Mus musculus: one gene and its partner. The protein of the gene in region 1 interacts with the protein of each later gene in a pairwise test. Links are inferred from orthologs where the notes say so. Each region holds a gene or a part of one and is shown on either strand. Other genes may lie near its edges. The genes, in order: Gtpbp3 and Parp11.

Region 1 (4,606 bases):
CTCGGGGAGGGGTGGGGGGAGGGACCAAGGGACACAGGTCAAGATTGCTCTTCAAATTACGAAGCCTCCATGAAATCGACTCATGGGGAGAAAAGGTCACTGGTCGCCCGCCACATTCTCAGCCTTCCACCTACCTGTGGCGGGCCCTGCGCACACCCTCCTGCTCAACAGCGCCCACGCCTTCCCGGAGCCCTGCAGTGTCGCTCAGCAAGACAGGGAACCCAGCCAAGTCCACGGGAGTCTCCAGCACGTCACGGGTGGTCCCAGGCTCTGGGGACACGATGGACACTGGCTTTTGGCCTGAATGTCAGGGACAATGTGATTAAGAACCACGGAGTGGAGGTAAAAGCCCTCACTTTCAGGAGGCGCTGTCTGCCACTCTCGTAGCTTTGAGCTACCAGTGGGGCCACCACAGTGTCCAGGAAGCTGCAGCTGGAGGAGGCGTCCAGCAACCCTAGGATGCTGCACCCCTGCCCAGAAGAAGCCCATCCCATCCTTTCCTGAACCCCACATACTGAGTAGATTCACCAGACTGCTCTTGCCCGCATTGGGAGGTCCAGTGACCACAACATTTGCCCCCGAGAGGAGCCTTTGTCCACGCCTAGCATCTCGCAGGTGGGAACCCAGCGCCACCTCCAGGGCTCGAACTTCTCTGTCCGCTGTGAGAGGGAAAAGGCGGGGTGGGGGGGGGAGAGCTATCAGCAAGGTCTCAGGGGGGGCTGAATGCCAGCCCCAACTCCCCCAAAACCAGACATACCCTGCTCCAACACACCCTCTTCCAAATTATCATCCTCTCCGAAGTCAATGTAGGCCTCCACATAGGCCAGAGCCTGGGGAGGAGGGGAGATGTCACAGGTGCTCTCTCAGTCTCAGGTCTAACTCCAGTTTGATCTATACAACCAGACTGGCCTCTCACAGGCCTAGAACTTTCTCTAAAGGATGCATGGATGGAGCTGGAGAGATGGCTTGTTGGTTTAAGTGCACTGGCTGCTCTTCCAGAAGTCTGAATTTAATTCCCAGCAACCATATGGTTGCTCACAACCATCTGTAATGGGATCTGATGCCCTCTTCTGGTGTGCAGACATACAAGCAAATAGAGCACTCATAAACACAACATAAACAATATAAGTAATATAAATCTTAAAGAGAAAAAGAGAACACATGAATGGGTGAACATGCAGGCTTGCCTTGGTGAGAGTCTTTGCCCAGCCCTGGCAGAGCTGGCTCAGTTCCCCATCCAGCTGCCTCAGAGCCTGTCGACGCTGGGCCTCAGTTTCTGCACGGATAAGATCTGCCAGTCCCTCCACTTCAGTCAGGCTCAGCTTGCCATGGGCAAATGCCCTCCTGGTGAACTCTCCGGCCTCGGCTGGCCGCAGTCCTGGCACACTACCTGCAGGAAAGCATCACAAGGCCTAAGCTCCTGAGTCCCCATCCAATGGCAGGTAACAGCCAGCAGAGCAACAAACCAAACCCCAGGTGGGTTTTCAGGTGACACAACTTCGTCAGAGTCCCCTGATCCTGTAAGGAATCACAGGAAGCTCACTGATTCTTTGGGCTGGACCCTAATGGGTCAGTGGTCAGTTACTGGGTGTGACCACCACACCCCATCTGGGGGATGTAGATATCTCTCTTAGAACCCAGGCCAGCAAGCTGTTGAGGTCACCTGCAGTTGCCCCTCCCCATCAGTGCTGATTACACACGCAGGCCCCAGACTGACAGAGTGCTGGCCATCAGGGGCTTCCTGTGGCAAACTTGTTGGATGAACACACATTAAGTAAAGGTGACACAATTCTTTCTGAAAAGGCAAGACCCTCCCTATCCCCACCACCCAGAAATCACAGAAAGCCTGGTTGTACGCTGGTACATCGTACCAGCTACTCATCAACTCCCTAAATAGGACTTAGCACTTCCTCCAAACAACTACCACCAAACATGCACTTGAGTCTGAGCTTTCCTCAAAGTCCTCCCCATGCTGAAGTCTCTGCGTGTGTGTGTGACACCAGGAAGTCAAAAGACAGCCTGCAGGAATCAATTCTCACCTTTCACCACTCGGGTTCACATTTGGCAACAATCACCTTTACTGGCAGAGTCATCTAGAAGGCCTGGGTTAATATGATACATCTCTTCTCCCAAATGACAATGTGTTTTGCAGTCTATCTCCAATACCTTTTAGTCTCCCCCAGGAACAGTGCCACTCAACAGAGCCTCACCCAATGCCTGCAAGACACCGCTGACCACCGCAGGACCTCCGTGTACGTGAAACTCCACGCAATCCTCACCCGTGAAACTCTGGGGTCCTTGTATGGAAAAAAGCAGAGTTAGGGGATGGGCACGACCCGGGCTGACTCCTGGAGGGGACTGAGACCCGGACACGAGCGCCGTGGGCTCCCGGATCCGGCCCCTCACCTGGGAACCAGAGGACGAGTGAGCGGTCCAGTGGCTCCCCGGAGCACGGGTGGCGGAGAAGGCGCAGGCAGGCTCTGCGGGCAGGAGGCGGCTCCTGGAGCGCCGTGAGGCTGCGGAGCGCGAGCCCGCTAGCTGGACCGCTGGTGCGGATCACTGCGATGGCGCAGCGTCCCTGGCCGGAGCTGAGTGCGAAGATGGTGCTGCTGGGGACTAAGGACTCTGCACTGGTGCTGCAGCGTGCGCACAGCCTGGAGATCGGAAAGGAAACGAGTAAGCGCATCCAGAAACCCGAGCCTCGGGGTGAACATGGACGGAGGGATGGTCGCCCGTTGATGCCCAAGCTGTACGAGCGGTGGCCAGGCGATGGGCTTGGAAAGACACGGCAGCTGCGGGAGGAGGAACGGGGTCTGGAACTTCAGGGGCAAACCTGGGTCCTAAAGCAACGTCTAGCGCGTGACAGCGGGTCCGTGCCACTCACCTGAGGGGCGCCCACGCCGCCTGGGTCACCAGGGCGCTCAGCCCACGCCACATGGATTTCCAATTTTGCAAGCACCTTGGCCGACACTCCCGCAGGGCTTCAAGTTCGGGAAGAAAGTCCTGCCCCTTTGCGGTGTGACTTAGCGGTACGACTCTCAACTACCATTGGATCGCCTATAGGAGGTCCCGCCCTCTATCTATAGATTTTGATTCCTATTGGCTGATCCAAGGGAAACGAAGTTGGGATGCGGGTGTGTACAACGCAAGAGTGTCCCGCGGAAACACAGAGCAAAGTTTTCGGTTCCTAGAGCAACAGGTATCTGACACAATAGTGGGAGGAAGAAAATGCAGGATATATCTCAGCGGTGGTTCGAGCCCTTCTTTTCCTTGTGCCCATTCCGTAGTCTTAGAGAAGCTAAGAAGCTATGTGTGCGCTCCGACTGTAAAGTCCATGAAAGGCAGCGCAGAAGGCACTTGCTGCCAAACTTGACAATCTGAGTTCTATCCCCGGGATCAGCTTAGTGAAGGAGACCAGACTTGTGCAAGTTGTCCTTTCACCATCACGAGGGAGGTGGGGTCGGGGTATTCTACACCCAGTTAGAGACAGAAAACTCAAAGCATCTTAGTGACTGCAGGGGATGAGTTCCGGGAGAAGCCACGCCCTAGGTCAGGGAAAATCTGGTCCAAACTTCTGGGAAGTTTCTTCCTGGCCCTTCTTGTGTCTCTTCACTGATCCCCGCTACCCCATCTTTGCCAGCTGCAGCTCCTGGGCAAGTATCTTTAGCCAGGCGCCATCCCCAGGCAAGGAAGCCTTTCTGGCGGTTCCAGCCCAGCTCCAGCCCTGGCTTCCCCGCCCTCTTCGGGGTCCCGGTTGGCCGCAGGTCCGATGTGTGTTCCGGGATAGGCATCCTGGGGCCTCCAGTTAACTTCGGGTTAACCCGGGACAGCACTGAACTGCGGGGTGAAGGAGCAGGCTCGAATACCAGGTTCTGGGCGGGCGGGGCTTCGCGAGCGCCCTCGCACTGCCAATTCTCTGGTTCTCGACTTGTGCGGGCGGGCGCTCTTTAGTTAGTGCTGCCGGGTACAGTATAGTCTCAAAGCCCTCAGGTTCCCATCTGCCCTACTTTCAGTCTGTGAAACAGGGACAGTGACGTTGTCCATCTCCTGTGGTCCCATCTTTTTTGTTTGTTTGTGTGTTTGTTTTTGTTTTGTTTTTTTCGAGACAGGGTTTCTCTGTGTAGCCCTGGCTGTCCTGGAACTCACTCTGTAGACCAGGCTGGCCTGGAACTCAGAAATCCGCCTGCCTCTGCCTCCCAAGTGCTGGGATTAAAAGCGTGCGCCACCAGTGCCCGGCCCCCGTGGTTCCATCTTAACACGTTTAGAGCAAGTGCTCATTACCTACTAAGTGCTCACAGGACTTCAGGGTGGGCCACTCTGAAGTGGGAAAACATGGGAGATCAGGGCTGTGGGTTTTGGTGCTTGCTTCTAAGTCTGACGACCTGAGTTCAATCCCCTGGACCCACATGGTGGAAAGAATCAGTTTCCACAGGTGTCCGTCCTCTCACCTCCATACACTCGCCAAAGCGCTCCTGCCCACAACAAACAAACATTCTTTAAAAATCTGGTATCAGGCTTAGCTTTGTGGTTGAGCATTTCCCAGCAAGCTGGACTTTTGACAGCCTCCCTTCCCACCTAGGATCACCCAGAACATAAAAGTTTCAGA
Region 2 (3,441 bases), on another chromosome or scaffold:
ATAAAAAGCAGATTGGGCATGGTGGCATATCCTGTAATCTGATGACCTGCAAGTTAGCTAACTAGCCTGGGCTGTATACAAAGTTTGAGGCCTGCATAGACTATCTCAGAGACATTATCTCAAAAGAAAGGAAGGAAGAAAGAAAGAAAGAAAGAAAGAAAGAAAGAAAGAAAGAAAGAAAGAAAGGAAATAAAGATGAATAAGCAAGATCCCCTTTCTCCGAGGAGAGAAGGAAATGTGAAGAGAGGCACACCACCAGGGACAGAATAAGATCACTTCTCAGTTGATCTCAGAGGATCTCTTCAGATCCACTGAGTCAGAAACACCCATGAAGATGGTACACTTAACTACCAACCAAAACTCAACGTAATTTTATCACGTGAAGCTTACTACCGTTGAACATTTAGACAGACAGAGACGCAATCTTGGGGATGTCTGTCACGGTCACAGGCGAGGTCTATCATGCTGCCCTTTGCTCTGTTTAGCAAAGCTGATCTTAGATTGCTGGGAGTGCCAGCGAGTGGGAGTGGCTGGCATACCCCTACAACTGATCCTCTGAGCCAGGAACCTTTAAGGGAAGTGTAATGTACCCACCAGGCCTGGATCTAGTCATAATTCCTAACAGAGCCGAGGACATATCTTCATCCTCAGGTTACTTGATCAGCTATTGCTCACAACGACCAAAACTAAGACCAAGAAGTGCCCCCAGAGCAACATCTACTGAGAACTCCCTGAGAGTCTAAGAAGTTTGAGAGGAAAATTCAGGTTGAAACCAAGACCCAGAAACCAGAAGCACACATATAGCACACACAGGCAGCCAAGACCTGATACAGAAAACTTTAATCAACAATTGTAGAAACAATACACTCAGACATTGAATATCAGAATTCTCCATCACCACCTCCACCACCAGTCTAGAAATGAAATAATCCACTAATCTCAAACATTCCTGGTGGGAGATAAAAGATTCAGGAAAACATTTTCCCATAAACACATTTCTTTTTACCCAAAGGCTAGACTCCCCGCAGAGAAAGGACAAGTTTGTACTCAATGGAGTTTATTCAGCCAGCCTGCGGCACAGCTCGCCACTCTGCACGAGCTCCCTTTGCTCTCCCTCCCACTCCGTGGGATGAGCAGAGGGAGTGATGTTCTTCTATACATGGAACAGACAAAACAGTACAACGTTAACACGAGTGACTTCTACGTTATTATATTTTAAAACACGTACCGAGATCACGTCTTCCTTATGAAGGGGGTTGGCAGTCTGTCCCAACAACAGCGGTGCAATGCTTCTTTACGGTGGCCTCTCTGACACCCCCCCCCCCAACCTCCCTCATGCATGCCAACACGGGAGAGTGATTGCACAGACTGCCTGCGTTCTCAGTCACCTTGACACGGATGCACAGGTCTAGAAGGAAACAACCTCAACTACAACAATCATTCCATTCAAGTATTGAGAGAAGTGTGCATGGAGCTGGGGGGTGGGGGGGAGAGGAAGGCGGGCAGACAGCCATGTAAGAGGGACTTTAACACATTGCATGCCAGTTCGGTCTACAGAGAGAGTTCCAAGACAGCCAGGGCTACACAGAGAAACCCTGTCTGGAAAAACAAACAAACACGCACACACACATACAAACAAACAAACAAACAAAAACAAAACCAGGAGAAAAGAACTAGAAGAGAGACTGTTCACTCTGAACTCCCAACGCCTCTAACACTGATTCTTGAAAGCGGCCAGGCAACCTAGCCACTCTGCCTTCAGGCACTGCTGCAGGGACCACTGGTGGCTTTGAAATGCGTCCTTTCTAGCCTTTCTTAAACCAATGGTGGACCTCCACATTTGAGCCAGGGAGTCATTCCTGCCACCGTGTGCCAAAGCACTGTGCATAATTTCCCGAGAGCCACTCTTGTACTTCCCACTGTGCGATAACACACATTCTGGGCCAGAAGGAGAATCTGATGGTTTACAAAGCTGAATGAATGGCTATCCTTACAAAAGCCACTATCCATAATCCTGTTTCACACATATATTCTTTCTAGATGCTTCCCAATTTGAGTGACTGAAGAGAACAATACAGGCACCAGAAGCTAACCTGTGCTCAAGTCCTCGAACCCAAAGCTGGATGGGGATAGCAGAGACAAGATTCAGTATTGAGAGCTAGGAAAAGGTTCTGGGTGATATGACTGGAGGAATGACCTTCCTTCCCCACAAGGAATCAGGGAAAAAGCAGCGCTGGGGAGACAATCATACAGGCAGCTCCCTGTCTGACACTTGAACACTTAGCATCATGCCTGAGTGCTATCTCATCTCTGCTAGAAAACCGCTGGGCAGTTAGCTGGTACAGATCACTTCCTCTTTGGGACAGAACAGCAGGCAAACAGACAGGTACACAAAGCCACGAGCACAACTCTCAGTTGCACATAGCTGCTCAGGGGTTGGAAGTTGTCAATCACTACTCTAAAGAAGAAATCAGACTTCTTCCCAGCATCTCATGTTCTTCACAATCATTCAAAAGAGAATGACACCAACTATTAACACGTGTGGTTCTTAGGAATCACCATGGAACAGCTATGTGTGTCTCAGGGGTTGTGGGAGGACCAATAAAGCCTCTGCAGGGCTTGGAAAACAAAGGAAATAAATAAGTTGGGGCAGGGACGACAGACTGCTCGAAGCTGAACTGTGAGCTAGTGACCCTTAGCAGCAGTGCTCAGCTCAACTGTGGGAGATGGGTGAGAATAGTGTGCACTGCTCTGGGGCTACAGACCACTTTCCTCTAGCAGTGAGAAGCAGGCTCTGCCCTGTCTCTCTTCTGCTGGCTTACCTACCAGCACAGCAGACAATGTCCTTGTTTCTTACTTCGCTGAGCACCAGGGGCTGTTTCGGGATTTTTAATTCCCCCTTCAGAAGACCAACAAAGTCACATGTTCATTGATAGATAATAATGCCAAAATTCAATTTATAAAAGTCCAGTTCTCCTAATAGGGTACAAAAACTAAAATCATTTGACCTGGTCACATGCGTGTGCACTTTGAAGACTGTCTGATCATGGTAATGAGAGACTCAACCTATTCTGTTTTGAGAAGTAGCTCTTTCTCCTGTATGTTAAGATGGCAACAGCATCGGTCTTTAACAAAACCGGAACAGACAGAAACAGAACAACATATAACCAACCTGACAGCCAGTACTTCTTTATATACTGAGGCCGCTTTCTTTTCTGTATCTGTTTCAAAAGAATCCAATATTTATATTAGTGGCTAGGAGACAGAGGATCAAATCCTCCTGTAATGAGAGAGCAAAGCTCTGACCACTGAGCCTGGGAGGCAGGGTCAGTGGAAGTCTATCAGGTACTCAGGGTAGATCTGGTTGGCATCAAAAACCACAAAGATCTTTGGGTTCCAGGTGTCATCCACACAGCTGTCATACAAATTCACATAGCTCCC

Evidence for each region.
Region 2: the proteins of Gtpbp3 (region 1) and Parp11 interact in binary tests that used the Homo sapiens proteins (3 or more experiments, as listed by UniProt). The two-hybrid records come from large-scale screens. The link is inferred for Mus musculus from reciprocal best matches to the Homo sapiens genes GTPBP3 and PARP11.

Annotation. Positions count from the first base shown.
Region 1 is NC_000074.6:71,487,119-71,491,724, reverse strand, and holds the start of Gtpbp3 (tRNA modification GTPase GTPBP3, mitochondrial precursor), read right to left. Parts: upstream 2,998-4,606; 5' UTR 2,938-2,997; coding exon 2,885-2,937; intron 2,655-2,884; coding exon 2,407-2,654; intron 2,298-2,406; coding exon 2,211-2,297; intron 1,391-2,210; coding exon 1,188-1,390; intron 1,071-1,187; exon of another isoform or gene 831-1,070; coding exon 758-830; intron 660-757; coding exon 516-659; exon of another isoform or gene 301-515; coding exon 135-300; intron 1-134. UniProt on the Homo sapiens protein: GTPase component of the GTPBP3-MTO1 complex that catalyzes the 5-taurinomethyluridine (taum(5)U) modification at the 34th wobble position (U34) of mitochondrial tRNAs (mt-tRNAs), which plays a role in mt-tRNA decoding and mitochondrial translation.
Region 2 is NC_000072.6:127,491,622-127,495,062, reverse strand, and holds the end of Parp11 (protein mono-ADP-ribosyltransferase PARP11), read right to left. Parts: coding exon 3,328-3,441; 3' UTR 802-3,327; downstream 1-801. UniProt on the Homo sapiens protein: Mono-ADP-ribosyltransferase that mediates mono-ADP-ribosylation of target proteins. Plays a role in nuclear envelope stability and nuclear remodeling during spermiogenesis. Inhibits the type I interferon activated signaling pathway.